Oryzias latipes: one gene and its partner. The protein of the gene in region 1 binds, or shares a complex with, the protein of each later gene. Links are inferred from orthologs where the notes say so. Each region holds a gene or a part of one and is shown on either strand. Other genes may lie near its edges.

Region 1 (15,908 bases):
AACCTGTGAAAAAAGAAAAACATTTACAATTTAGACATTTTCTACAACTTATCAATATGTCTGATATGTTAATAATATATTGTCTAAATAAAAATATTATTATTGTTGCTTGAAGTTTTATTTTAAACAATCTCAATCATATTTAGATGCAAATTTATTTCAATTAACTTTAAGTTAAATGAAATGTATGAAAATATGTTTTGCATCAGTTTTTTGATGTAGATACATCAAAAAACTGATGCAAAACATATCTGCATCAAAACATATTTGTATATATTATATTTATTATTCATCTTAAATAGTAGTATCAGCCGATTGACAAAATGTAAATGTTTTAAAGTTGAGAGTCATGGACTCTGGAATTATCTTCTTCTTAAAACATTTTCAACATTTTGTGGCTTCAAACGCTTCAAAAAGAGGAAGACAGTAAGTCCAGATGAACGAGAATCTTCATCGACCAAATGTGTCTTTGTTTCCACAGACCAGAATGAATGTGGGTGTGGCTCATAGTGAGGTGAACCCCAATACTCGAGTAATGAACAGCCGGGGGATCTGGCTGACCTATGCGCTGGGAGTTGGAGTTCTTCACATTGTGCTCTTGAGCATACCCTTCTTCAGTGTTCCTGTAGTGTGGACTTTAACCAACGTAATACACAATTTTGTAAGTGCACTACTTGCTCCTGTCTGTCTGTCTGTCTGTGCTGCACATTGCAAATGTAAATGATCTTCATTTGTCACACATCTGGTTTTAAAATGAGACATTCACTCACTACTGTAAGTGTGGTTTACTGCGATTGTGTGTCACTACCAATATGTTGGGGTGTTATCAGCAAGAGCGAAGGTCAAGGATAGTCAAACACCCTCCATCACAGTCTAGTAATAGATCAATCATATAAACTTTATTCCATTTGCAATCTAGAATTTCAATCTGGTTTGAAATACATGAATTGCACTTGTTGTATTTTAACATGATTTCTCATATTTTGAGTTTGATAGTAAACCCTAGTTTATCTTTTTAGGTCTTGCATGTGTTATTAATTTAAGACTACACCAGGGTGGAACTGTTTCTGTGCAAAGAAACAAAAGCCGATGAAATGTATCATTCAAAATTCTCTTTGCATATAAGTGTCAAACTTCTGCTTTGTACTGTAAAAATGTGTTGTTAGAAAGCAGCAACATAAATAATAACCGACTCATTTAAGCAGTCTATGAATAATATTTACTCGTGTTTGTATTTCAACTGTTGTCTTTCCAGGGAATGTATGTCTTTATGCATGCTGTGAAAGGTACACCTTTTGAGACTCCTGACCAAGGGAAAGCCAGGCTTCTAACTCATTGGGAGCAGCTTGATTATGGTGTGCAGTTCACCTCATCTAGAAAGTTTTTCACCATTTCACCAATCATTCTGTGAGTATTGAGATCCCATCATGACTGTATGCAAGATTGGAAATGTTCTGGAGTCAATTTAAAACGATATTAGCATTTTTCTCACGACTGTTTTATATATTTAAGCAATTTGTTTTTCAACTGATCTGTCTTTTTTCTATTCCCTCCCTAGATACTTCCTTGCAAGTTTCTACACAAAGTACGACACAACGCACTTTGTAATCAACACTGCCTCACTTTTAAGTGTCTTGATCCCGAAGCTGCCACAGCTGCACGGAGTGAGAATTTTTGGCATCAATAAGTATTAACGTATTTTAAGTGCTGCGCCTCTCAGCAGTAGAAGCTCATTCCTGTCATCTGTACCGCTGATTACTCTGTAAGGACAGCCAGATACTTCAGGGTTAAAGAAAACACAGGAGTACTTTGTATTTGACAGAATGCCAGAAGCATTACTAACTTATGTGAATATTTAATGAAGTTTTTTTTTTTTTTGGCCTGCCTAGACCTGGGCTGGCCTAGGTCTTGGTGAGGACTTTAGTTTAATTTCTTTTCCTCTATCATTTGTTCACACAGTGACACAAAATTGTGAATTGTAGTCACTCGGATGTTCCAATGTATTTTTCAAAGATGTTTACTTTGTAACGGTATGAGCCTGTGGCTCATTAGGTAATGGGTGCCAAATGTTTAGCTCAGTCAGGAATATTATCATCCTCCTTATTGGCATGATTCTTTTGACAAGTGAAACATTTATTTGCAACTGTGTGGAAAGTTGTTTCGGTTTTTGTGGATTTATGTCTTGTGTGTAGAAGAAAACAGTGTGACGTTAATTGTTTACTTAGGGGTGGTCTGCAGTGTCTACATGTTAATCTTAGGCCTGTTGATGCCCTTGCTAGATTAAGACTTTTTGCTATAACCAAGGCAGCTAGCTCTGCTTTGAGTAGCCATTTAGGCCACAGTGGTATTTCTTGTTAATCTTATTAAAAATTGTGACCTCTGAGGTTCTGTTTCATTCCTGCTCATTTTATTCTTCATTTCTAAGTTATGAATGCAGAGTTTATATCAAAGGGGGAAAAAATGGAAATGTTTCAAATGTATTTAAATATTTTTAAAGAAAACAGCAGATAAGTTCTGATTACATTTCTAGTGTTTACAGATAGATGATTGAATGTGTGCTTTTAAAAATATGAAAATGGAAGGGTAATGTTTACCTTAATGCTCAAAAAACAGTTGGTATAAGAAATAACACTGCCATGACATTCACCCCTAACTTCACAAAAAAGGTTTTATTTAATTTGTTATCTAAAACAAGACTTTTTTAAGGCACATCGAACAAATCCTTTACTCTTTACATGTAACCTGTTTTTCCTTGAGATCTTCTATGTGATCATCTGAACTGATGAGTTCTCCGCATTGTTTACTCAAGATCCCCTTGTAGACTTCAAAGTGATGGTTCAAATCTCTCTGCGTGTGGATTTTAAATCGGGTCCCGAGTGCACCGTCAACTGAGGTGGTCCCGTAGAAAACTCGACCAATCCGCGAGTGGACCAGCGCCATGGCGCACATGACACAAGGTTCTCTGGTAACATAAAGGTCATACCCCGTACAGATGTAAGGTTCAGCTGCCCCTTCCGACTGATTTGACATTTCTTGATTTTTGGCAGCTTTTGGGAAACTGAACTGGCATGCAGTGTAACGGTCAAAGCAGTAGTTTCCGCCACCCTGACTCCTAGCCACGAGGTCAATGCAGACCATGACAGCGTGGTGTAAGGGGTGGTCCCGTCTGCAGTCATGGCCGACTGCTATGATGCGGTCTACTTCAGGGTCAACCACGACCGCCCCAACAGCCTCCATCCCCAACTCTTTAGCGGCTTGTGCAGCGGTTAGAGCAGATGTCATGTATGTGTGCATTTTGGCTTTTTCTTTGGTACTGAAGAGCTCACCTCTCAGAGCTACAGTTACATGTTTGTTTTCGTGAAACGCCGTGGACCAATGTTGGCTCGCCAGTTCAAACTGAGGTCGGGTCAACGGCGGACGAGCAGGAATTTTAACCACAAAAGGCTCGCCCAGGCCTTCCCATTTAGCTCCCCTTGAGGGTAGCAGAGAGTCTTTGCTGACTGCCTTTATATCTGGAGCTTCACTGACGAGACACAGAAGGACTTCCAGAGGGTTTTGGCTGCCCTTGTCTTTGCAAGCCCGTACCCTCTTGAGGTGCTGAAGGCCATTCAACGGGTAGAGGCTATTCAGCTCCGCGATGATTCGGGAGGTCTCTTTCTTGTTGGTGATGGGTGCAGCGAAAGCTTCTATCAGCTCGATGTCTTGCGACTGCAAGTCGGACAGTACAGGAAGAGCATCCCAGGAGTCAGTGTCCCTCCCTGACCCTTTCCAGCGCTTCGTCTGTGGCTCCATTATTTGGGTGTCCTCCTGTCAGTACATTTGCAGGACAGAGCATATGGTCAGAAACACTTTTAGTTGTTGGAAAGACATAAACCATTTTTATTCAAGAAAAAAAAAAAACTTTTTAATCACACCTATGAGTTTTTTTTTTCCTTTTTCAAGTTTGAAACAAAGTCAGTTACGACTCATAAAAATAAATCACTTCAGGAAATTGAATCTCCTCTGTACGAACTGTCAAACAGAGAATACAGTTTTTATTTGTTTAAAATGAAAATGCAATTGCAAAGTAAAAATAAAAGTTCATGTTTTCCCTGCAAAATGAACCACTCCTGTTACAATATAGATATTTATTTTAAAAAAAGGACAAAAACTGGTCACATTTGCCATGTTTGGACGTTTCATTTTATTCATTTATGTTGTCAGGTTTTATTAAACAATAATCTCTAAAACAACAGAATAAAAGTACAAGTTTACAAAGTCAATTTTTAAGATAACATTGTTGCGACATAGCAGGTAACCAAACATTCAAATACTGACTGCTGTTACACATTAATGATCCAAACATGTCAACACTGCCAATAGATTCTATGGAAAGATCTAAAGTTCTTTTAGTAGATTTGCCGTCTTTCATAAAAGTAAGCATTTTGTACCAAAAAATTTAATGTTTATATTTTGCTAATTATATTACTATTACAATATTTTGATTTATAACAAATATTTTCTATGACTATTAAATAGCCCTGATATAAAAAAATTAAAAAGAAAATAGATTTCTATGTTTTCACTCCGAGAACTTCCTATTGGCGATTATTCAACCTCTGAAAAATGTGAAATCACTTTCATAATTTACATTGTTAAGCATGTTGAATTTTGGAATGAGCTGATTTCAACCCTTAAGACATATCTCAATGAAACACTGTAAAAAAATCTACTTAACAACAATTTATTTTAGTTTAAAACACACATTAAGTGTAGATTAAACAGCTATAAACACTTCAAGCTACATCCACCATCAGAGCATTCCCAATTCAAAATGAAAATTCAGTTGGAAATAAAGTAGTAAACTGTTTGATGTGGTTTTGTTTATTTTCTTCCCAGCATGAGCTTCATTTTCATGACTTTGGGGACGTGTCTTATAGTGAGGGACACTCTGGTGCCTCGAGTTAATGTCTCCCCAGGCAGGGCGCCGGTAAAAGACAGGTTCACCACCTGCTCTGTCAGCAAGTCATGAGTCTGTCCTTGAATGCCGTGAAGAAGGTGCTGGTACATTTCATCTTGTAGGATTAGGAGGCTACGCGGCATCACCAGCAGAGAAAGCAGGTAGCGGTTGTCTTCGGTCTGTGGAGCTTCTCCCTCCATGCAGCTGACAGGTTTGTAGAAGTCCAGGAGAGTGTGGGAGCCCAGGCTGATGGTTGTGACAGTGGGGTGGTACAGGGGGCCGTCTTCGTGTGGCATAATGCCTTCCCCTTGTTTGTACTCATTGACCAGCACATGATTTGCCGTTTTCCCACCAAATGCGTCTAATGAAGATATTTTTTCACAAAAAGCCTGGAGCCAGTCAGGGATCTTCTCTGGGACCATGCCTCTGGGATGAGGTAACCCTCCCCAGTTCTGGAGCCTTCTACCAGAAAGTTGGGTCCACTTTGTTTTTGGAGCTTTGTAGACCTGTTGTAGAAGATAGGACTCCTCGTCTTCTGATATGAAATCTGGGATGTAATAGACGGTTTGAGGTGCATCCTTTACAACAAAACGCTTTAACTCCTCCAAATTACAAGTAGAAGATTCCATGCCTCCTTCAGGGAAATTCAAATAAAACCCTGATTAAAATTCAAATAACTACTTTTCTAAAATAATAATAATAATAATAACACAGGGAAAGAGGCTAATTTGGGGGAGCAAAATGAAAGTTAATGGAATAACATGTCATACACTGTATGTTCTTAGGTTTAATCAAAGCGGTTCAATACCAAACAGGAAAATCGTCCAAATGACTGTTATATCAATTAGAAAAATCAACAAACACGAAAATTGAAACTTTTTTTAGAGTTACTAACAAATTGTAAAGTACAAGTACAGGACGTTGGAATATACGACATTTCCGCTGATCGTGAAGACAACACAGCTTTTCACACAGAAAATCCTCATAAACTTCCGTTGATGAGGATTCTAGCACTAATTATAAACACAATTTGATTGTTTAGTTATTGTCTATGAGCAGGAATAACAGTATTAAGCCTACCTCTGTATGCATGAATTTGTTCGATAAAAAGAAAACCCGCCTGGTGGTCAAACAACCTGGCAAATGCACTCCATGGGCAAAAAACTATGCGCTACTGTTAAAAGTGTCCGTGCGGGAACGTGTTTACATTTTTTTAAGCACATTCAATTTTTTAAGCCACTTTCCGAATATGTATAGCTTAACAATATGATTAAAATATTTGTTCTTTCCTTCTTAAAATTATTAATTATATCATTCCATTTGATTAAAGTCGCTGTCTACTCGCCGTGATGTGTCGATTCACTGACATAGCCGGACATAAATACATGTAACACAGCAAATGAGTTGAGCTCGTGTTCGCTCCTTTAAAAACAATTATGCTCAAATGTCTTTTACAAATGGAAGTGATTTTAATCTTTCTCTCATTTTTTACGTTATTATTTTTATCTCATGATGATTGAATTCCTCTAGCGCTTGCATCTGATGCCTTCAATATTTGACGTGGAATCTTTGAATTAAAAGTAATAATGTTGCCTGCTAAAGTGAAAAACCTGTGGAGGCTGCTTCATTGTAGACGCGTAATGGACTTCACGTCTCTGACTAGAAAGGCATACCACTCCAGACTTGTTTTAGGCATTGAGACGAGCTGTGATGATACTGGGGCTGCTGTACTGGACGAAACTGGTACAATCCTGGGAGAGTCTCTTTACTCACAAAATGAGGTTCATCTGAGGTGAGGAACATGAAAAGAACTTAAAAAACAAATATTTTTATTTTGACAAATATATTCCCCTTTTGCAGGACTGGTGGTATTATTCCCACTGTTGCACAGCAACTCCACAGAGAGAGCATAGAGGTTGTGGTCCATGAAGCCCTGGAGAGGAGTGGAGTGACCCCAAGCCAACTGTCAGCTGTGGCCACAACAGTAAAGCCAGGCTTGGCCCTGAGCTTGGGCATTGGTCTTGCGTTCAGTCAGAAGTTTGTAAGGAAGCACAACATACTGTTCATTCCCATTCACCACATGGAGGCCCATGCCCTGACTATCAGAATGCTCCAGCCCGTGCCCTTTCCTTTCCTGGTTCTGCTTGTTTCTGGTGGTCACTCGCTTCTTGCTGTTGCACGAGGAATTGACGACTTCCTGCTGTTGGGTTACATGTTGGATGAAGCTCCAGGGGACACACTGGATAAAGTAGATTCATTGCTTTTGACACATTTTTATAGTATTGTAAATATAAGTCAAGCACTTCAAAATCTGTCTTGCAAATTCACAGGTGGCAAGACGCCTCTCCCTCACAAAACATCCAGATTGCTCCACGTTAAGTGGAGGACAAGCGATTGAGCTTTTAGCAAGAAGTGGTGACAGGAGGAAATTCCCTTTCAGGACACCGATGGGGCGGATTTATGACTGCTGCTTTTCTTTTGCTGGACTACGAAGTCAAATCACAATGTCCATCATAAAAAAAGAGGCTGAAGAAGGTATTTGAGAAAAGTTGAACACAGTTTTACTGAATACTTATTATACTCAATTTACATGGGATGCTTACAGTCAATCTTTTATTGTAGGAATAGAACAAGGTACACTTTTGTCTTGCGTAAATGACATTGCAGCTGGCACACAACACACAGTTGCTGTTCATCTTGCAAAACGGACTCATCGTGCCATCTTGTTCTGTAAGGAAAATGGCCTTCTGCCATCTGATAATCCTATTTTGGTAAGTACAAATTACAACATTTTATGAAAATATAATTTACATGTAGTCATGTGTGTATAAGTCAACATGTACAATGTTACCCAGTAAAAGAGCTAAAATCCGATATCTTTAAGGTTCAAAAGATTGTTAGTCGATGTTGGCTGTATCAAAACAGTATTAATTTCTCTGTTGAAAGAATGTGCTAAGACTTGTTATATGGATATAACCCTTTTTAAAAGACAGATGTTTTTGTTTACTCCTTTGGTTATACAGTTTTTTTTGTGCACTGGGTGCATGCCCCTATTTGCTGTCAAATTTTAAATCACCATCTCTTCAAATCCCTGAAATAAATTCACTATAACATTGCCAAATCAAACTGGTTTGTTCCAGATGCGAAATAAAGAATTTGGACACCACAGTTTACCATGTTGGTTATTTTCAAAATGCAGAGCCTTAATTCACAAACAACTTTAGGTCCTTCTTGGGTTTTAGAGGAGGAAAATAACTAGGACTGGTAGTTTTCAGAAACTTTTTTTTAATGATGCCATTTATCTCCGTACAATGAATGGGCTTTGAGATATCACGATGTTTAAGACACAACAGGGGAGTGGATATCATTTTGTTTCCAAAGCATGACTTGGATTATCTTTCTTGTTTAATAGAAAAGTAACTGCAGTATACTTTTTTGATCAAAGTTCTGGGTCAATAGGTACCAGAATGTTTTCATTTTTTTGTGACTGATAAAAATGTTTTCTTATAGCAAAAAGTAAGCTCTTCCCTAGTGTGCACTTGTTTGAATAATTACTCTTTTCTAGGTGGTGTCTGGAGGAGTTGCAAGCAATCAGTACATCTGTAAGGCACTGACGGTTATCACTGAAAAGACAGGACTTCGTCTGCTCTGTCCTCCACCCAGATTCTGCACTGACAATGGCGTGATGATCGCGTGGTGTGTGCATATCAGCTTTGAAGAATCATCAAGTGTAATTAAATTGTAGGTGCTTAATTGAACTTGGGGTTTAAATGATAAAAAAAAAACTTTTGTCCCAATCAGGAATGGTATTGAGCGTCTAAAAGAGGGGAGAGGAATTCTGTCTCCAAGTGAGGATGTCTGTTATGAGCCAAAGTGAGTCAATTTAAAAGACAGTGGTTACGTTTTTGTTTTTTTCTATGAACTGATTAAAGTGTTCTCACAATGTTGTGTTTCAGAGCACCACTAGGTGTCGACATCTCAGCAAAAGTGAGAGCAGCAGGGATACGGTTACCACCAGTCAGGATGAAGATCCTTAGCTGACAGACACAACCCTATCATAACTAATTACCCCTGTGTTTATTTGTAATTTTAAAATTTCAACGTGAGTATTTTTGTCAAAGAAAATGAAGAAATAATTGAGTTATGCTTATTAAAGTTGCTAACAGAACAATAAATGATTCTTGTTTATATACAGAAGTAATTTGTCTTAATTTTATTTCTACTACAATTGTACATGAAACTCTTTTCATAGGAAGATGTCTTTTTCTCCCTGTTATTTGTTAGTATCAAAACTACATTATCAGTTTTCTGGTTGTGCACAGATACATCAAGAAGAAAATGTGGGAGTGAACTCTGTCCACTCTGCAGATTTAATGTATTCATGTTATTTTGCTCCTAGAAATTAGGTAAATACTTCCCTCTAACGGTAAGTTTGAGTAAGTGCATCAAAATAATTTAAAGCTGTTATGACCTTCCAGCTGAAAATGTTACCCCATGACCTTCAGATTACATGACTCAGAAGGTCAAATCCTTGAAGATGGTGTCCAGAAGGGCAGCTGTTGGTCCATAGGGAGAAAAAGCTTTTTTAAAGTTTTGGGGGATTCACCTTACATCAGCTTAATTAAACACATTGAAGATATCAAAAAGTGCATCAAAACCCAACAGCTTTGAAAAGTAGCTGGCAGCACAAAAAAAGGAAAAACACTTGAACAACCCAATTGTAGGATAGTTATTTGTCCTTTTAACAAAGGACCTTTTGGTAGTTTCACCAAAATCCTGTTTAACCTCTTGAGACCCAAGCTCTTGTTTGATATGCCTTTTATATTTTGTAGTCACCCCAGGGCCCAGGTAATCAGAGTTAACTACACTGGTAATAAAACCCACAATGTGATGTCCTCAGATCTGGACGGCAGGTCTCAAGAAGTCAAATAAAAAAAAAGACAATTTGAAATATTAAAGAATGTTTGGTTAACTTAGAACTTTGACAGGGTGGACACACTAGCAAAGGTCTTCTGTTGCTAAGAGACCGTGTCTGTTGTATGACTTACCAGTTCACCAGTTGACACACTACATCGGTTCAGCTTTACTGAAGGCTTTAGAGACTGATCCAAAGAGAGGAAAAACGGTGCAACAATGTCCATCAATCACAATGAGCCGACAGAGCAGACCTGCCCGGAAATCTCAGAGCAACAGGTGAGTTAACCTGAAAATGTCTATGGCTGCTTCCACATTAGCACATTGACAGGGAAAACTTTTAAGAGATTTGTTTTGTTCACTCAAATATTTACTAGACCGTTTTTAGATCTTAATGTAGATTATTAGTTCTGAGTAACTTATTTCTGGATAAAGTAAGCCAAGAGATAGCCATATGTTACCATGATTAGCATTTTCAATCTACTTATCCAAATAATTTGAAAATGTTTTGTTCAAACATTTAAAACCAGGTATACAGATACAATTTTATGTATAAAATCTAAATAACTTTTTGTTCCTTTTAAATCATCTTCTTCTTGTTAAAGACAGTAAATAAATAAGGTTTGGTCCTTCACAAACTGAGTTTTGTAAAATGTTCTGAGATGAGCTAAAAACCTGCCTGTTGGAGCAGAATTTTAATGAAACACTGGCACCTCTTGTTATTTACAGGTTAACACAGATCAGACTGAATTAAGATCCTGTGGAATAAACCATGTGGAGGGCGGATGGCCCAAAGAAATTGATCTTCAAAATTTGGAACACACCAGTCGTTTTAGAAAGAGGAAGGAAAGAGAAGACAGCTACATAAACAGTATCACTCAACTGGGCAGTGTAAGATTTTTGTATATACTCCTCATTTAATTGTGTTTCTTAAATCTGTCAATATATTAATGTCTTTCCAAATTTTTCTACAGTTTTGAAACCTGAACTAACATCACACACTTTATATTATGTTATTCAGATCACAGAGCACAGCTTTAGGCAGAATAATGCCGTAGAAATCTATGAGAAATACTTTGAGGATGAGGAAGATATGAATGAAAGTCATGAGCCACCTCTTACCAAAACCATGACTGTGTTCAGGTATGACTGACAGCAGATCATCAGCACACCGATTGCTTGTAATGACTAATCACAGTCTGCTCTTTTGGTTCCTGCAGTGATCCTACCCATTTGCAGCGTGCTGCGAGAGGTTTGTCTTGGAGTACTTCTGAACCTATGAAATTTGCTGCTGCTTTTGCTTCTAACAAGTTCCCACTGTTGTCCGAAATGTGCAAAGACTCCTATGTCTGGGACATTGGTGGGTCAAACCTCTGGCTTATTGAAACCAATTCACAATCCGTTTTGCTCAGTGGTGGATGCTTTATCTTTCAGAAAAATCCAGTTCACCACTGATGGTGCTAAAACCATCGTCCTCACTTCTCTGTCTGGAGTACAACCCAAATGACCCCGCCTGTCTTGTGGGAGGCTGCTACAATGGGAGAATTGGTGGGTTCAGGGATAGACTGATGAGGTTTGTAATGAAACCATTTCAGCTGCAAGTTTATTTGTTTTAGTTTACTGGGATACTCGGGAAAGCTGTTGGCCTGTGGGTTCTTCTCCTGAGGATCACAGTCACAAAGATCCAGTCAGCAAAGTGAGCTGGCTTCAACTCAAGGGCAAAAAAGAGGCAATCTCCACTTCCACTGATGGACAGGTCAATTCTTGACAAACCAATTTTGACTGACAACGTGTTATTCTGGAAAACTGTTGAAGGACTTTCTTACTAAAGCAATAAACCTCAACTCTTTCAGGTTTTGTGGTGGGACATCCGGAAGATGAGTGAGCCCACAGAGCGTTTGATTCTGGACCTGGGTGGGGAGAGGACCTGCCCCGTAGGAGCAATTTCTCTCGGGCTAAACCACATCATGGTGAGGGTGTGACCTTTACAGTGCAGACACTGGTAAAGTGTTGCTTTTCTGCTGCTATTTTTTTTTTTTTTTTGCTATATCTCCAGCCTGAACGCAGTTTTGTTCATTCTGTTTCCTAAGAACACAAAGATCATGTTGGGGACACAGCATGGCTTGGTCATCTCGTGTGACAAGAACGGAAAGACTCCAGCAGAAAAGATTGTTAGTATTTACAAAACCAACAAAGGACCTGTGTATGCTGTGCAGAAGAACCCCTTCTTTCCCGGGAACTTCCTGACTGCAGGGGACAAGCATGCTTGCCTCTGGTCTGACATCATTACCAGGTCCCCAATCATGGCATTCAGGTAGGATTCTGACCCACAGCTTTAGCTGAGGACAATAACCTTGAGTTTCAAATAAATCCGTGTAAATTGATAGCTATTGTTGAGATGAGTGTGATGGATGCCATTTGTGGAAAACTGAAAAAATTACCTGAAAAAGAGCGGCACACCAACAAAAGCAAAAGTCAAATATTTGTATCCACCAACACCATCATCTCCTCCACAGCATCTTATTCATTTGAAAATAAGATCCATCCTATTTTCTTGTCTAATTCACATGTAAATTGTCTTTTCTATTTCCCTTCTATCATCTGGTTATTTTTTGTTGACATCAGAGGCTAACGCTAATAGCTGTGTCTCTCCATCTTGCTTGCCATTACTTTTGTTTTGCGGTAAACAGAGCAGCAAGTAAAGAAGAACAGCCCAGAGCAAAAAGCTATGCTACACTTATTCAGATGTTTGCAAAAAAAGAAATAAATCAAGACAGAGACTTCTCTGTCCAATCACAGGACGTGTTCATATCACGCTTAATGTAAAGCATAGACATATGGATTAAAGCCTTCCTGCTAGCTCAAAGTCATCTAGATCTGATGAATTAATGCAAACGCTTGCCTTGCTGTTTTGTGAAATCAAAAGGCCATGTCATGGCCAGATTGCATAGAACCTAACATCACAAATAAGCTGGAATATGATTGGATAAAAACTATTATTATGTACAATACCTTCAGCTACTGAACCAACTGGATATCATATAGCACGAAGAATGCAGAAAAAGCAGAAAAAAATGTGTTTTAATGTAAATACTTTTTTGTTTAATGTTAAGTAACTGTAACTAATGTTAAGAAAAACAAAGGATGAAATGTGCTTTACTTCATTTGATGTTGGATTTCAGGAATGGAATGCAAAACTTAACCGGTGCTTGCTGGAGTCCATTCAGACCCTCCGTCTTTTTTACTCTAAATATGGATGGCGTGCTGGACATCTGGGACATCTTGTTCAAACAGACTAGCTCCGCACTGAGTGTCAAGGTCTGATCCCAGCTGCAAAGTCAAAAAAGTCTGATGGGTCCAATGACTTTGAATCCCTACTGATACGCTGGCATGAATATTCATTTTAATAGTGCTGTGTTGCTGTCCTCAGGTGTGTAACAGTGTTCTGTGCAGCATTTCTGTTCCTGATAAGGGGCCTCTGATGACTTGTGGCTCTACTAACGGGGAAGTGATGCTGTTGAAGGTTTGGCCTGGACTGTTGACCCCACGAAACAATGAGATCAGTTTAGTCACTGCTGTAAGAACACATTCTGACTCAAAATATATGCATGATGTGATAAAACTTAACTAAGATAAAAACAAAAACAAGTTTTATATTAGTTTTTTGAGCTAATATTTGACATAACCCTCTGCATACATAGTCAAAGGACCCCATTTAAGGAGAATTAAGTTCTGTGGTAATATAACCTGAAATGTGATGCCCATGCATGTGGACACCAGATCTTAAGAGGTTAAAATAAAACACGAACCTTTTTAATTTTTTTTAATTTTACAGTGCAGTTCATCCTTTACTTGTAATTTTAGAGGTAAATTAGGATGATGTGGAGTTTAGCCTACAAACTCTGTGCACTGATTTAGACAATGTTGTCTTTGTCTGCAGCTGATTGAAAACGGAGAAAAACAGCAAGGTCCTTTGAGTCAAATAGAAAAACCTTCTGAGGAAGAGGATGAAGAGGAGGATCCCAACGAGCTCATCGCTCAAGCTGAAAGAGATTTTTATTCAATGGCATAGATGGTGACGAAAGAAAAGGAAGGATCTGCTCCAGGTGAGATGGAAGGCTCTTATATCTTAGCAAACTGTTGTGACCTCTAAATAATGTGAGTTTATGATTTTGGCTTTTTTCCTCAGAAAAAAAATCAAAAATGGCAACAAAAATATAAGGAAATTACCAGATGCTAGCAACAACTGGAAAATGGACTTTGGCATGTTTGCAGGTTATTTATTTACATTGCTTGCACACTGTAGCTACATAAAAATAAATTAAACTAGTTTCTGTATTCTCTTCACTTCTGTCTGATACCTGTGTAGAAATTGGGGTTGGTGCTGTTGAGTTTTTTTGTTCAGACCTTGAGCCATCAACAAAGAGGTTTTTTAGTTTTAGGGCAAGTAAAGTAAGTAGAAAGAAAGAATTCTAAAAACTGCAGTGTAGTTATTTAAAAAAATATATTGTTTGTGAGAAAATCAGTCGCAGAAGATTTTATAGGCTTATTTAACCCTAGAGCACTATTGGCGGGTGATTTTTACCCGAGCAAAACTGTTTACATGAATTTTAATATGCCGCGTGTCAAGGAGTCTGTGCTTTCACCAGGGAAGTCTCACATGTCCCAGGAATGGGTGGACCAGAGACCAACTTTCTAGTATCATTTTATTATGTTTTAGGTTTTTTTTTGTTTTAAATTCCTAATTTTTCAGTAATTTTTTAGGGTGTTTATGGGAACTTCCTATGTTTTTCTTTTTCATTTTGTCACACATATAGTATCACAGTTGAAAATAAAAGAAAACCACTCTAATTGAAATTGAAAATATTTTATGGCAAGAACTTTTTGGTTTTTCTCAACATTAGTTACAGTTACTATATTGGGTAAAAATTATTCGGCAAAAGTGATGGTGTAACTTCTTTCAGCGACGTTTAAGAGCTAAATTAAAATAAAATGCTTTTAGACTCTAGCTTATTTTGAATGATTCAGAAATATAGCAAGAAGATGGTAATTTGAACTTAAAATTAAAGTATTAAATGCAGATAATCATATGTTTCTCCTTTAAAATGCATTTTATCTTTCTTTAACTTTTTATTTTAAATAATGTGATTTTACAGTAATAGAAGCAATTCCTTTGATCCCTTATTGAAACTATATCTTACATCATATTTGCATTTCAACATTTTAAAGTTTAATTTGTCGGTTACAGTAATCCCTTTTCAAAATCCAAAACACAGACTTTTCACTTGAAAGATCCTCATGAATCCTCCAAAAACCTAAAAATTAGTCTTAAAGAAAGAACTATATTTAGTTTTTCAGCAAATGTGAGAAAGATGGACCTGCCCTTTGTTTGTTCTGGCAAATTTATTTCTAGCACACAGTAGGGCTGCTTGATATTAGGAAACCTTGCGATTTGCGACATTAGTGATCAATATTGCTATGACGATATAACTTGTGATCCATGAACAAATAACAAAACACCTAAAAAAAATCATTTCCATTTTACTGAAACAGTTTAATTTAAATAAGACTCAACACAACTTACATTACACTCCAAATGACCCTAGTCTACATAGGAGGCGAGCATCTAACATAAAAGGGCTCCATCATGTCAACAACATGAAGGGGTCTATCTGATTGATGAACAATGTCAAGGGCAACATTCGATTAGTCAAATGCATGAGGGGAAAGGAAAGTTTATTTGATTCGTTAAATACTTTAAGCTGCCAACAGAGGTGATGAGGAGGTGATGGGCAGGTTTGGTGTGAAGGAAAGGAATCTGGAGGGACAGATGGTGGTGCCATAAGATTGTTTTTGCACATTTAAGGTTACCATTTATTGCAATTTTCGCAAACTTTTGCAATATGCATATTGGATCGCTTGATATCACGATAAAAATACATTTGCGGTTTATTGTGCAGGCCTAGCACACAGTCATGTTGGACTATCGCAACTCAGCACATCATTTTAATACTTCAAATAATTACACTAAATGGATGTCTATGAATAAAAATAG
Region 2 (15,758 bases), on another chromosome or scaffold:
AAACACGACTCGTCTTGCTTGGGGTGAAGTCCTCCCGCCGTGTTCACCATCCATTCGGCTCTCACCGACACATATACTGGAAAGCTATGAAAGCTTATATTAGTACTGTTGTACTTTGACAAATTCGCACACGGGTACACAACAATGTTGTGATGTCTTTGTCACGCGTTGAAACACCAAACGCCTTTCTTTTACCCGAAATCCGCTCCTATTTACTCAAAACTAGCAACTCAACAAAACTCCCCACAACAATAACACGACCAACAGGAAGTTGTCGGCCTCACACTCGAAACACGGAAGTTAACCGGAAGTTCTATCGTGCACGTAGGCTGTGAAGCAAGAGCGCTAATCACTGGCCCACTGTGCAGCCCTTTTAGTTTCACCTTAATAGAAGTACATGAGAAAAATACAGAAATCACCTAGAAAATGGCACCACTATATCATTTTCCTCACTTATGTTCAACCCCATAACAATCGTCCCCTTTTTATTAGTAATGGTTTAGTCCAACTTAAGCACCCAGGAACTGACAACATTAAATATTTTGCTCACTCACACTGTCATGTTTGCATACTTTCTTACCTATATTCCATTGTCCCATTGTCATCAAGCTCTACCTTTTAACTCTGTTACATGCAGAAATTATATTTACTGTTGTTTTAAGAAAAATAACAATTGTCTTGGAAAACTATAAGCTATTGATTTCTTGTTTTCCTCGTGTCTTATGATGCTCCATATTCTATCTAGGCCTGCATCTAGGTCCAGCCCAAGTCTTCAACTCCATAACAAAGTACTGTGACTTGGTTGAATCATTGTTGCAAGGCTGAAGGTTAAACTTTAATTTAAATAATTTAGAATCAAAGAAAATATACTTATAATTGTATACACAAGGGACATGCGATAATCAAAGCAATGGAAAGATCTGTTTTTGATGCGTTTTAAAATAATAGTCATTAACAAGTCAGATTAGCCTGTGTCCTGTGAGTAAGATTGTCCTGGGAATTTAAAACAGCGTTACCAATTAATCTCTAATAATATGGTGGGAATGCCTATTTTCTGTTAGGTTAAAAAAGTCCATCGCGTAGAATTCACAGGATCCATGTGAAAAAGAGTGAATGGATGAATGGAGCCATATAAAGTGAGAATTTGGGCAAGAATCTTCCATCAGTGCATTAAGGCTGAAATGACCGTAACCCTTGTGCTATCCTAGGTACTTTAACATTGGGAGTTGGGTCATCTAGACCCACTAGACAGTGCTCTGAACCTTTTTTCTTCAATGATTTGTGATCTTCACTGGTGTCCATGGATTACATGAAATCTTTCCACCTTTATCCACCTTTGTCATGGTAGGGAGAACACGTCCAAGTAAGAGGGGGGGGGTCATCTAAGATAGCACAAGGGTTAATCTAGTAGAGGGTGTTGAAAGTCTGTATTTCCCAGCAACAGCCCCAAGACATCCCAATTCTTGAGAAGATCTGGATAGAGGAATAGACTAAATCATCAGCTACAGTGTGTGGACACCTGTTGAAGACTTACAGGAAACCTCTGTCATTACCAACAAGAGTTACAATACAAAGTATTGAGGTGAATTTTGTTGTTCACCAAATATTTATTTGGTGCAGAGGTAGAGCGATCGACTTCTGCACAAGGAGTCGCATGCTCAGTTTCTAGCTTTCCTGCCTGTGTCAAAGTGTCTGTGAGCAAGACACTGAACCCCACAATACTCCTGATGGTTGAGATTCGCTGCATAAGTGTTTGAATGAATGTGCATCTGACTGTAAAGTGCTTTGGGCTTTAAGGTAAGATAAGAATATTACCCTTTTATTTTCAGCTTTATTATACAAATAAATACTTTCAAATGTATACAATACATTTTTATACATTCTGTGTTGAAGTGTATCTATGATGAACATTTTCCTCTTTTTAAATTGGACAACCTGCAGAATTGGTGGCTGTCAAATGCACTTTTGATCCACTGTATGCTGCAAAAACAGAAAAATGCAGTAAACATGCAGTCGTGCAACAATAATAATAAATAATAATAAACTTTATTTGTATAGCACCTTTCCAGAAAAAAATCACAAAGTGCTTCACAGTACAACACGATAAAACAACAGTAAAACACAGTAAAAACACATGTTAAAAAGAAATTAAGAAAAAGCCATTTTAAAAAGATAGTGTTTTCTTTTAAAAAGCAGCTAAAAACCTGAGTCCACAGATCTGAGGCTGAGAGGAAGAGAGTTCCAGAGGGATGGGGCCACTGCGGCAAAGGCTCTGTCTCCTTTAGTTTTTAATCGGGTTCTCTTAACAGCCAGCAGACCCTGGTCACATGACCTCAGTGACCTGCTGGGAGTGTATGGCTGCACCAGGTCTTTTATGTAGACTGGTGCTTGGTCATTAAGAGCTCTGTATGTTAAGACCAGGATTTTAAAATGCACTCTGTAGTGAATGGGGAGCCAGTGCAGCTGCATTAACAACGGGGTGATGTGTGAGAACTTGGATGACTTGGTTAAAAGCCTAGCAGCAGCGTTCTGGACAACCTGGAGCCGTTCTAGAGATTTTTTACTTAAACATGTGAAGATGGAGTTGCAATAATCAAGACGGGAGGATATAAAACTGTGAATGAGCATCTCCATCTCAGAACGCGACACAATTGGACTCAGTTTTGCAATGTTTTTAAGATGATAAAAGCAAGAGCGAACAAGTGACCCGACATGAGAGTTCAGGGATAAAACCGGGTCTAAAGTTACACCTAGGTTCCTGACAGAGGACTTGATAAAAGAAGCAAGTGGACCGAGCTCATGGATTATCTGGGGGAGACAACTGTCAGGAGCACAAACTAGGACCTCAGTTTTGGGTTCATTGAGTTGGAGAAAGTATTTATTCATCCAGCTCTTAACTGAATCCAGACACTTTTGTAAACTCTGTATTTTAAAAACATCCTGGGGTTTAAAAGACACATAAAGCTGAATATCGTCAGCATAAAAGTGATAAGACATGTCGTTAAAAGAACTTAAAATATGCTGTAAAGGCAGCAGATATAAAATAAACAATAAAGGTCCCAAAACTGAGCCTTGGGGCACACCAGAAGTGAGCGGAACAGAGGAGGACTTAAACTTGGAGAAAACAACAGAGAAAGATCTGCCAGTCAAATATGAGGAGAGCCAGTTTAAGGCTGATCCGGAGACCCCAACCCAGTTTTTCAGCCTGTCCAAAAGGATGTAATGGTCCACAGTGTCAAAGGCTGCGGTCAGGTCCAACAACAGTAACACAGAGCATTTTCCTGCATCACTCTGCATCAGGATGTCATTAGTGACTCTGAGAAGGGCTGTTTCAGTGGAGTGAGCTCTGCGAAAACCTGACTGAAATTGATCGAATATCCCATGACTGTCGAGAGCAGCTGTAAGTTGTTTGGCAACAACCTTTTCTAAAATTTTAGACATGAAAGGAAGGTTAGAAATAGGTCTAAAACTGCTCAAGAGGGAGGGGTCAAGCCCAGGTTTTTTAAGGAGAGGAAGAACAACAGCTTCCTTAAAGTGCTCAGGGACTTGACCAGACAGCAGAGACGAGTTCATTATTGACACGACACAGGGACCAATGGACTGGAAGACATCTTTGAGCAGAGAAGTTGGCAACGTGTCGAGGGAGCAAGAGGATGACTTCATTGTCCCAACTAATCTGACTAGCTCAGGGAGGGAAACAGGTGAGAATGTGTCTAAAATCACAGGACGAGGCGGACTAGGAATAGAGCCAGAGCCAGGACCAGCTGTGTGACACAGAGAGCTTCTCACAGATCTGACCTTTTCAATAAAAAATGATAAAAACTTTTCACAATCATCATTTGAATGGATGGGAACAGCAGGTGAACTGGGCATAACAATATCACTCATAGTGTTGAACAGCACTTTAGGATTACCTCTGCTTTTGGAAATGAGATTAGTGAAATATGCAGCCCTCGCATCTCTAACAGCATTGTTAAAAGAGACTAAAAGATCCTTAAGATGAAGGAGATGAACATCTAGGTGAGTTTTTTTCCATAAACGTTCAACTTTTCTACATTATTGTTTCAGACGGCGAATACTGTTGTTAATCCAAGGGGAAACCTTAGTGACAGGAGCCAGTCTAGTTTTAACAGGACAGACTTCATCCAAGATGGAAAGACAATAACGGTTAAAGTTACATAATAAAGTATTAACATCGGTACACGGAGAAAGAACCAGGTTAAAAGCATTAGAAAAGACCTCAGCTGTGGAGGAGTTAAGGATGCGAGAGCTGACTTCTCTGCGTACAGGCAAGAGCGACACAGAAAAAGATAAATAAAAAAAAAATGCAATGATGGTCAGAAATAAAAATGTCCTCAGAAAAGATAAAATCAACATGCACACCCAAGGTAAAAACAAGATCGAGTGTACCACCTTAAACATGTGTGGATCCAGACACATGCTGAATAAAGTTAAAAGAGTCCATTAGGCTAATAAAACCTCTGGCAAATAGGTCAGAGTCATCATTAATGTGCATGTTAAAATCACCAACTATCAGGTTAGACAGCTTCATAGTGGAAGAAAGAAAGTCTCTGAACTCCTGTAAAAACACACCATTTGATCCAGGTGGACGGTAGACAACGGCACAGAAAAGAGGGTACTTATTCCTGACTTTGAAAATGCAAAAGTGCATCATACAGACAAACATGCAGCAGGCGTACAGCAAACTTTCAAAAGTCGTATGAGGGGTTTTTCCAGGCTCATCCTTCAGTGTAGGTTCTGCAGGGCTTCAGGTCATCTCTCTCTCTCTCTCACTCTCTCCGCCCCCCTGCAAACCTACAGAGCTTCATCCTTCCGTCTCTGTAGCTGCAGTCGGTGTTTCTGCTGGGCTGTGTGTAAACCCAGAACAAGAGTGGAGTGAGTTTTTCAGGCTTTATCCCATGTTAGGAAACGTGGAGATTTCAGCATCTTCATGTTTGAACTTTGAAACAGTCCAGCAGCTCTCCTTCAATCCATATGATTAGTTCTCAGTGATCTACTGGAGCAAATTCCTTCAGATGACCCACTCCCCTCATGACCGCAACAGTGAGAAGACAGACCACAGAGAATAGACATGTATTTGAAACAAATGTCTTTGAAACAGATTCAAAATACCCAAAGGTAGTATAGAAAACATTAAGTTCAAAATAGTATCAGTCAATAATGAGCTGAAAGTTGTGCCTTGAGCCTGTTTATAAACTCTGCAGCATCAGGCTCACTCACTGACCCAAGGCATTACAGTGGAGGAAGAGGCTTCATGATGGGTTTGAATTAGACTCTGGGAGCAGCTAGAAGGCTGGAGATCCTGAGGGTCAATATGGGACAGCTCCTGAATGAATGGACTTCTGGCAAATTCAGTTCAGGAAAGTCCACTGGTCCCCTTCATTGAGGGATGGGCTTCTTCAGTGGCTGCCCATCACACATCGGATTACGTACAAAATACTTCCCCTGAATTTGAAATCTATCCACAACCTTGACCCTCCATACCCGTCAAACCTTTTTCATGTTGCAATACCCAGCCGTGACCCCCACCCCCAAAACACTCTTCCTTTTTCAACTTCCACCACTTGATCCTCTGCTCTGGCCTTGTCCTCTTCATCATCCTCACCACAGTCATCCTCACACCATCTGCTGTCTGGCTATACTCTCCCAAGACATCACTTTCCAATCACTGATCTGTTTTAGAATCCGTCTGCTCAAGATGTAATCAGGTGTGTGCTGAGGAAAAACTTTAGAACAGTCAGTCAAAAGTAATTTCCAGGTTTTTAAGCTCATTTAACGATTAAAGACCAACTCCAAAAAAATTGTGTTTTTAAGATGTTTATGTAGCATTTTCCTGTGATAGAGGACATATTTAAGATTGAAACTGCGTTTCTGAGTATTTCTTTATTCAAAGTGTGAAGAATCAGGAGGAGTTAACAACCCGTGGTTTGAAAAAGCTCAGCTTTGTGACGCAGCAGCTGCCATGGGAGGTTTAAAGTCTCCCTGCTCCGCTCCAATTCTGAATCCTCCACTTAAAAACAATCACAGTAGATCCATTAAAGTCTTCCTATTTGTCTTCTGAACTGCCCTCTGGCTCAAAACTCCAAAATTGCTCGCATTTTTTATTTTTGCTACACTAATATTAGCTTGGGGTTGTGAGAGGCTGTAAGCTAGCAGGCGAGATCGTGAACAAAGGAATGCTGGGATATCACTGTAGGGTTACTTCCAAACCTACAGTCCCGCCCACAACCCAGAGGCGAATTTCTAATGAGCTCCTGCTGCGCTTCAGAAAATATGTCTTGAAAAACAAATTAGGTTTTTTGATTTTTGCTAAAAACGGCATAATCCTAATTAAGAGCACTGGGAACACTTTTACAATGGATACTAATATAGTTGAATTGGAACGTTCTGCTGGTTTTTTGGTTTTGGCTTTAGGACTAATTTTTAAACTGCCAGGGTCTTTAACATTTATTAAAAGCTTTTAACCAGATACTTCCAATTACGTTTTACAAATGGGTGAAATGTGTCCCTGATTTATGAGGGAGAGAACTGTATTATCTGCAAAAAGAGGAGCACTCCTGTTGTGAGATGTCTACTTACAAAATGCACTCAACGTTTTAGTCAACATGCTCCACTTATAGACTTGAACTATTACAATTGAACAAGAGCTTCTGTCATTTTTGAAGTTGATTTAAAACTTAACTGCAGCCAGATAAGTTCAACAGGTAACTTCTGGAGGGCTGTAAGTACGTCTTCATTTCCCCTCAGTGTAAATCGAACCCTGGAACAGGATAACATCCAGTACAAGTCAGTCTTTGTGATTCATCTTTTACTTTGTCTTTGAGACCAGATGTACTGCTCCTGCATGACATCAAAGAAACTCGGAGAGCTCACGTGGTTGTATTTAAAACAAATCTTCACAACTGATAGAAAGCTTCCAAACATCACAAATGTATTTTTATTTAACAAAACATTTATTTATTTTTGTATTTTTAATATAAACAACTAATCCAGCTGCATCACACCTGTAGAGCTGCATCTGTCCTTGTTTTGGGTTTGGGAGCTGAAAGACAGAAAGAAGATGAGCAACATACTGTCCATTCCTGTGCAGCATCAAAACCATCTCCTGTACACTGTATTACCAAAAGTATTCTCTCCCCCATCCAAATGATCAGAATCAGGTATCCTGATCACCTGGCCACAGGTGTATCAAATCAGCACTCAGTCATGCTCTGTTTTTACAAAGATTAGTAAAGAATGAGGCGCTCTCAGCAGCTCAGTGAATTCCAGCGTGGAATAGGGCTGGGCGATAAAACGATAAATAATTGTAACACAAAAGAACTTTACACTAAACTTATTTTGAAAGGTCAGAAATGAACACTCGTCTGTTGCGAGCATTTTCTCCTCTTTGGGCAGAAAAAGTTAGGTTAGTCACCACAAGGCGAGTAAACGTTTGTGTAAACTCAGTCATATTCATTTACTCTCCTTCAGGGGGGTATTCCAGAAAACAGGTAATGCTAGGATGATTAGACCACATATGGATGTTGGAAAGATGAACTTTTTTACTTTGATCTAACTTAATTATTTGCTTCAGTTGAGATAAATCAATTATTTTTAATTAAGCCAGTTTAAAAATAACATGTAGTTATCAGACAGTTATTATACTTTTATTCAAATTAATTCAATTAAGTAGGTGTAACTTTGGTGCTGCTGTTAGATCGGCAACGCAAAGGATTGTGGGATACCATTCCCTTTGCCTGTCTGGACGGATTTGGGTTTAAGTGTGGGTTTTTGACCAAATGTGTTTAGTTGCTTAGCTGTTTTACTGTGTATTGTCTAGTTATTTGTCCTGTTATGTTTAATTCTTTCTGCACCATGAGTGAGAGGGAGGAAGAGGATGATGAGTTTATTTAGCAGCTCTACTGGTTATTGGAGTAATGACAAATTCAGAGAAATGGTATTGTTACAAATTGGAAAGCTGTCTAGTTTCATTTATTTTATAGTGATAAAAATGAAAATATCTGCAGGCTCAAATTTAGACATGAGTTCAAGAATTACAATAAATTAAGATGAAAAACTTTAATAGAATTGGACTAAAATTACATTTATTTAGATAAATATGTAAATTTGAGTTGAAAAAAAATATTTTATATATTTGGTGTTGCCCATGTTGGTAGATAGCCTTCTGACTGATTGTGGGGGGGCACAGGTGCCTTTATGCAAGCTAACCACCTCAAACAGGTGCCACTCATTTAGAATCATGAGCAGAGTGGAGTTGGACTATTTCAAAGCAGAACAGCAGGTCTTTGCTGGTCAGAAATCTATCTGATAATCAAGTGATCAAATACTTTTTGACCTCACTGTGAGGTCAAAAAGTATTTGATCACCCTGTGATTTAGAAAGTTCTCCCACTTAGAAAACATGGAGGGGTCTAAAATTTCCATCATAGGTGCATTTCCACAGAGAGAGACAGAATCTGAAGAAACATTCAGAAAACATGTTGTATGCTTTTTTTTAAACAATTTATTTGTACCCAAGTGATCAAATACTTATTTGTCACAGTAATATACAAATAAATTGTTTAAAAGGCTTGAAAAACAGACTGAACAATTTTGAAAATTATATCCCACCGTTTGGGTTCTGCTGTTTGTAGAAAGTTTTCAGAATCTCCACAGCTTCATCTGCTCTGTGGCCTGAAATACACTAAACACAAAAACACAAGCTGACACAAAAACATCTCCACATCAGGGCTGCACGACATGAGGAAAACTCAAGATATGCCATATTAGTCATCAATATTGCGATGACGATATAACTTGCGGTATATGAACAAGTAGCAAAACAACCAAAAACCTAATTTCCATTTCACTGAAACAGTATACGGTAGTTTAAATAAGAGTTAACCCTAGTCTACATAGGAGGCCAACATCTAACAAAAGAGCTCCATCCGATTGGTCTATAATATGAAGGCGTGCATCTGGTTGGTCAAATGCATAAATGGATTTATTTGATTTGTTAAATACTTCCAACTACCATAAGATTTTTAGTGATCTTATGGCAGCTTGCAGGTAACAATTTATTGCAATTTTTGGCATCTTTTGCGATATGCGTATTGCACAGCGTGATATTGCGATAACGATAAATTTGGGATGTATTGTGCAGGCCTACTCCACATAAACACATTCATCAGGAGTGAATGCTGACCTTAAATGTGGTCCCAGTCTGCAGCAGGTCGGCAGAGGAAATGTCCAGAACAGAGCCACAGCCTCCAAACCGCTCATTCCAGCAGCCATACACGACCAAAGCCATGTCTGACAATCGGCTCAGAAATGACACTTCAAACTGAGGTTACATCCACGTCAGACAAGAATGCTCCTTAGGAGAAATGCATGTCCCCTAAGGACCACAAGGCCGAGAGGAGAGCCACACAGGAGCAGACAGGATACTGAGCAGGCGCAGGGCTGCAGCACACATGATGCATGGTTCCACCGTGACGTACAGGACTGTGTGCTCACACACGCTTCTCAAATCCAGGTTGCTATTGCGACACCAGTCCAGAAGCTCATCCAGAGCGACCAACTCAGCGTGACGAGTGGCCTGAAAAACCAGAGAACCGTGAGAAGCTGCTCATACTAATGCCGCATCAGAACAAAACCTCGAGTTAAAATCCTGTTTACACTTTAGAATTATTCCTACATTCTTAGTCTTGTTAACTTCATTCCTTCCTTTCCCAATTGCTTGATCTTTGTAGACCATCAGACATCCGACAGCCACTTCTCCATTCTGCAGAGCTTCTCTGGCCTGCAGAAACCTCAGTGACTTACTCAGGCGTGTGTGCACATCTGGGGTAGAAGGACTGACATTTTCAGACAGCATGTTGTCCTCAAATAAATACATCTACTTTCATATAACTTGACTCAAGAAAAAAAGTGTTTCATAAAGAAATGCACCAATGAGAGTTAAAAGTAACGTCTTTAAATGTCGTTTTTTTACCTATGCACTTATTAGCGCAATAATGGTAAAGCACTGTTGGGTCTTTCGCCTACAGAAAAGCTGGTCATTACGTTCTAAGGAATAAATTAACACACAAACCCGCTGTAACGTGGACCACTCACCATTTCAAACGCGCGAGACATCCATCTCTCGATCTCCTGATCGTTCGGACCGAACTTCTCCATCGAGCCGAACTTCTCCATCGAGCCGAACTTCTCCATCGAGCCGAACTTCTCCATCGAGCCGTGCTGTTTCGGGTTGTTTTCCACTTTTTTGTCACACTATGGACACCATCACACCGGAAACGAACAGGGGAAGAAAATATTGAACGGACCGACCCTCCGTGTTTCCGATTACGTGTTTTCATTGTTTGTGTGTGTGTGCGCGCGCGCGTGTGTGTTTTTTAAAATTGAAATATAATCATTACAAACTATCGCAGACAAAACCACACAATGATGCAAGACACAGCTCTCAAATAAAAAAGTAACAAACAAACACGTATAAATAAAATATAGAAATCTTTCAGCATAAATTAAATTTCAAGGCAATCATAACCTGGAGCATAGATCAGTAATGATCCTGTAGAAGTGTTACAAATGTCATCAATAAAAGGATTTAAGCTCTGAATGTGTGAAGGAATTTGTTTTATTATTATCATTGTTTAAATGTATTTCTTTAAATGTTAACTCAGATTGACCTTTTTACCTCTTCTAAAAACAGTTCTGTGTGTTTGGTCATCTGCTTCTCATGCCCAGCCAGGAACAGGGGGGTTTTACGACACACTGTCCTCAGCTGATAAGTGATACTGTTTAAACTTAGAATCCAACCAAAGGGGTCATTGTACGACACCCCCTAATGAACTTTTTGTCTTTGTCTTGAATTGTTACCTCCCACTTGTGTTCTTAATAAAAGCAGCACAGGGAGGGGCAGACCTTTGAGAAGAGAAACGTGGTGGACCTTTTCCAACACATTTGCTCCTCTCCCTCGTGCATGAGAAACTTGATTCTTGTTGTGGTTTGTTGTTTATAATTGTGTTTTTCTTTAATGTCTAGATGCATTTATCTGACATTCTTTGGTCCATTCGAGCCGGATGACAACATATCTGCGTCCTTGGGGGAGGACCATGCCGATTGAAGTCTGTGCACAGCCCGTGAGACTAGGTCTCCGGAGGAAAGTCCGTCGTAGTGAATTCTACGCCGGCCAATCGACTGGTCTGATCCCTGGGTCCGGATTGACGTTATTCGTTAACCAGTCAGACCACAACGACAAGGCAAGTACAGCGCTTTTTCAGGGGTTCGAGTCCCCGAAGTGGCCCAGAATTCTGAGGGACAGGTTCAAGTCCTGTTGCCTAAAACACGTGTGGGTTTGGAGTCCCGGAAAAGTCCAGAATTCTAAATAAAGGTGTAGGTTCGAGTCCTGCAGCCTAAAACGCGTAAGAGGGTTCAAGTCCCTAAAAGGCCTAGAATAACAACAAAAATAAAATAAAAAAAGTTTTTTTTTGGTGTGAATGTATGTGCATGTGTGAAAGGAGTGAACTTGTTCGAAGCAGTGAGCAGCTGGAAACCTTGCGGTGTTAACACAAGGCTGCTTGTTGGGGTAGAACAAGATTTCATCTCATAAGGCTTTAGGTGAAAAGAACCCAGAGTCTAAAACGGGTTTTGCTCCTGGGAGGACCCTAAACGTGTGACCGGATCAGACAATAGGTCTGACCTAGAAGCTTGTTGCACGGGGAGTGAAATTCGGTCCTGAGAGAAATTCTCTGTTGGTTCTGATCACACTCTGTGACTAACGTAAATAAAAAAAAAATTGGAAAAATTAAAAAATGGGGGAATTCAAATAAAAAAGTTGAATTGACATGAGATTAAAAATATATGGAAAGAGGTTCATCCAGGTTCAACTACAATTTTAAGGGGAATGTACTGAATTAGTTCAAAGGTTACAAATTAAAAACAGAATTAAAAACTAAAAAAGAAACAAAAAAATGGTGAAGAATTAATTTGTGCAAAACTGTGCTTAAATGAAGCAACGAAAAATAAAGAATGGCATTCAGAAAAGTAAAACTAGAGAAGCATGTCTGATTCCTAAAAAAGAAGAGGATAAATCAGTTGTGAGACTCAGACCCCTGCAACAGCAGGCTGCAGCAGGCTGCAGACCGAGCAGGAGCAGGATGAAAGGGGGGGAGAGCAGAAACCAGCTGATTTCTCACCTCCTCCCTACCAGGGGACAAATGCTCCTCTGTTGACGGGTTTTTACCCACCAGTGACTGATTTAAATAAACCAGAAAAAGGAAAAATAATGTTAGGAGGAAAAGGGAAAAAAAACTTGAATGGAGTAAAACTATGGGGGTTGGTTTGGAAGAAGCTGGAGAGTCATCTGAACCCAATGATTGAAGTGTCCAATCCTAGAGCTGGAGAAGATGGCCAGAGGCCTACACTTCTTTTGCTTAGCACCTGGACATTAGAGGATGTACGGAAGGCAGTGAGGGGAGTTATCTCTCACGGGCAAATGATGGAAGTTCAGAGAGCTTACCATCTGAATGGCATTGAATGTCAGCAAGCATGTATGACTGCTATGAAAGCAGACTGGGCAAAAGTAAAGGAATCCTATGAATGATGACAATCCACCCAGACCTCTTCCGCATAACAGTCTAAGAGTTAATTCAAAGTCTTACACTTTTAGGACAAAGAATTAGAGAAGCCTTTCCAATGAGACCTGATTATGGAAAGATTGGTCAAACTAAACAAAAAGATGGAGAGTTAGTGTCTGATTTTAGAGTCAGATTTGAAGAAGTTTTAAAGCTAATTGTGGACTCAGAGATAATGATGATGGTCCCTATAGACAGCAGCTGAAACAAGTTTTACTGCAAGCTATGAGACCAGAGATTGCAGACTAGATAAGGACACTTTACATAGATCTACCAACAGGAGCACTACAACAGTTTGTGAATTTTGCTGTTCATGCAGAAAAAATTGATGGTGAATAGAAAGAAATTTAGGAATCAAAGTGTAGATACATTTTGGCAGGAAGAAAGTAGTGATGTGTTTTTTGGAAGGAATGTGAACAGAGGGAGAAATTGTGGTCGTGGAAAAGGAAATTTTAAAGAAAATTTTAGAAGAAGGTCTAGAGGAAGTAGCAACAGAGGGTCAGAGCAGGTTGATGATGGATGTTGGATTTGTGGACAGAGAGATCATTGGGAGAGAGATTGTCCTGAAAGGAAGAAATCAGATTGACTAGATGGTAGAAGTAATGTCAAGATTAACAATGAATCTGAACCAGAAATTCAACGAATTTGTGATGAATTTTTAGATCTCACTGAAGTTTGTCTTATGGAAAAGCCAGAAATAACTCTTTATGTTCAGGGACAATCGTTTGTTTTTCTTTGTGATTCAGGGGCTTGTAGAACTGTGATAAGAAGTTATTACAATGATTTTCCTAAGTCAAATAAAACAATACAAATGAGATCTGCAGATGGTCAAATTGAAACTAAACATTAGAGTAAACCAGTTTGTTTTGAAAATCCTGACACTAATGAAACAACAAGCATTCCTGTGGTTTTAGCACCAAACTGTCCTTTTAATCTTTTAGGGAGAGATGTCATGATAAGATTAAAGTTAGGAATTTACCCCACCAGAGAAGGGGGGATGCAAGCACGACGTTGCCCCGATACAGACATCTGTGTGCTAGAAGGCAGAGGTGAACCACACTATTATTGGATTTTAGATCTACCTAAAACTGATCTTGGACAGACTGCAAAAAACTTAATGGAGAAAGCAAAAGCCAGAGTGTCACCCCATGCAGATTTTATGTCTTCAGACATTCTGTATGTCATGTTAAGATGCAAAAAGTCTCCTGGTCCTGACAGGAGATATGACGAAGCAGTGAGTAAACTAGGATTTCAAAAATGTACAATAAATGATTTTTATTGGAAAGATGAAACTAGTTTCTGTACTGTGACAGTTACACCAGAAGCAAAAAACTTAATGTGTACAGAAAGAGTGACAAGTTGGAAACAAATGGCAGATGCAGTTCCATTTATTTCTTGTTCTAAAGGTTCACGAGAAAAATGGGAAGAAATGAAAGAACATGTGCAGGAAGTGACCTATACTTTGGACTGGCAGACTGATCCGGAAACTGGAATTTCTACCAATCCTGAAACTTAGTTTAAAAGGATTGCATTAAACTGGGTAGTGATTACACAGGCTAATGTGCATCTGACTGACAGAAGTAGCTGAGTGAAAATTATGTTGACAGAGGAAGAGGAAGATTCTCTTAAAGACCTTCCACAGTCACTTTGGACTAAAGAGCCAGCAGATGTAGGGTTAATTACAGGATGCCCACCAGTGGTCATTAGATGGAAGAACAGAGGGTTTAAAACATCAACAGGAAAACCAGTAACACATGTAGACTTACTGAAAGAATTATTAACTGCTGTAATGTTACCATCTAAAGTGGCAATATGTAAATGTGAGGGACACACACAAAAAAAAACAGATCATATTTCTAAAGGAAATGCCTTTGCAGATGCAACAGCAAAGCAAGCTGCAACAAAAGATGTAGAAATATGCACAAATGAGGATGTGACTGCAGATGCAACCACTGATGTTTTAAAGGAAATGCAACACAGTGCACCGAAACAAGAAAAAGATTTATGGTTGAAAAAGGAGCAAAGTTGAACAAGGTCTTTATGTCAGCACAGAAGGGAAACCTATTTTACCAAAATCCATGTACAAATGGGCAGCAATTTTGAGTCATGGGCTTTGCCATGTCTCAACAGGGGGGAGGATGAACTTATTAGAGAAATATTAAACAACTTGTGGATTTATGCTCTATAAACTCTATAAAAAAATTTTTTTGTAAACAATGTGTTACATGTATGCATCATAATCCCCAAGGCAATGTTAGACCTAAGAGAGGAAAATTTCCTGAACCACCTTTTCCTTTCCATACAATCCATATGGATTTTATTGAATTGAATAAAAGTAAAGGATTGAAATATTGTTTAGTGATTATTGATGCATTTTCCAAATGGGTTGAAATTTTTCCATGTGCAACACAAGATGCTATTACAGTAGCTAAAGCTATTTGTAAAAGAATAATCCCAACTTTTGGCATACCACAAGTGATAAGAAGTGATAATGGTACAGATTTTGTAAATCAAGTGATAGACAAAATGGCTCAACATCTTTGTATTGATTTAAAGAGACATTGTAGTTATCACCCACAGAGTGCAGGATTAGTTAAGAGAACTAATGGCACTATCAAATCAAAGTTAAAGAAATGCATGGAAGAGACAAACAGACAGTGGCCTGACTGCATAGACTTAGTTCAGCTAAGCATGCGTATCACACGCACAGCAGGTCAACCTTTAACGCCTTTTGAAATGTTGTATGGACGTTCTTATAGGTTACCAGACATTGATCCTACACAGCAACATTCTCCAGATGATGATGCAAATTTAGTGGATTATTTGAGAAAAATGTTTACCACTAAAGATGTACAAAGGACAAATCAAGTGCCAGATTCCTTCTTATCTCCACAGGACACTTCACCAGTGCAGGTTGGTGACTGGGTGTTTGTGGAGGCCATAAAAAGGAAGTGTTGGTCCAGCCCACGGGGGGAAGGGCCATTCCAAGTCCTGCTGACTACACCAACAGCTGTAAAGATTGCTGAAAGGACGTCTTGGATCCACCTGTCACACTGCAAGAAAAAGCATCTGGGTGAGGCTAATTCCAACTGCTAGGTGGGGAAGTCTGACTACAAAGGGA

Evidence for each region.
Region 2: the proteins of adat3 (region 1) and adat2 are in contact, whole or in part, in a crystal structure (PDB 9HMM), measured with the Mus musculus proteins. The link is inferred for Oryzias latipes from reciprocal best matches to the Homo sapiens genes ADAT3 and ADAT2. Residues at the interface, in NP_001094076.1 of Mus musculus: Val217, Ala218, Pro220, Leu221, His223, Ile229, Asp230, Ala233, Gln236, Gly237, Glu270, Ser272, Pro274, Val276, Val290, Met291, Met294, Ala295, His298, Ala299, Pro311, Asp312, Leu318, Phe319, Val321, Arg324, Asp326, Leu327, Asn328, Pro349; in NP_080024.3 of Mus musculus: Val62, Asn63, Lys66, Asn67, Ala68, Thr69, His71, Met74, Ile77, Leu81, His85, Pro91, Cys107, Ile108, Met109, Ala112, Ala113, Leu116, Met117, Arg130, Phe131, Val137, Leu138, Ile140, Asp144, Leu145, Pro146, Asn147, Thr148.

What each region holds. Positions count from the first base shown.
Region 1 is NC_019879.2:16,547,795-16,563,702, forward strand, and holds adat3 (probable inactive tRNA-specific adenosine deaminase-like protein 3), read right to left. Parts: upstream 6,131-15,908; 5' UTR 6,032-6,130; coding exon 6,020-6,031; intron 3,808-6,019; coding exon 2,725-3,807; 3' UTR 2,651-2,724; downstream 1-2,650. Other genes in the region: ormdl1 (ORM1-like protein 1), read left to right, coding at 488-661, 1,256-1,407, 1,559-1,694; osgepl1 (probable tRNA N6-adenosine threonylcarbamoyltransferase, mitochondrial), read left to right, coding at 6,526-6,731, 6,800-7,187, 7,270-7,474, 7,562-7,710, 8,505-8,635, 8,741-8,812, 8,896-8,980.
Region 2 is NC_019882.2:23,452,481-23,468,238, reverse strand, and holds adat2 (tRNA-specific adenosine deaminase 2), read right to left. Parts: upstream 10,325-15,758; 5' UTR 10,233-10,324; coding exon 10,116-10,232; intron 9,802-10,115; coding exon 9,697-9,801; intron 9,598-9,696; coding exon 9,447-9,597; intron 9,312-9,446; coding exon 9,205-9,311; intron 8,704-9,204; coding exon 8,631-8,703; intron 7,064-8,630; coding exon 7,020-7,063; 3' UTR 6,931-7,019; downstream 1-6,930. UniProt on the Homo sapiens protein: Probably participates in deamination of adenosine-34 to inosine in many tRNAs.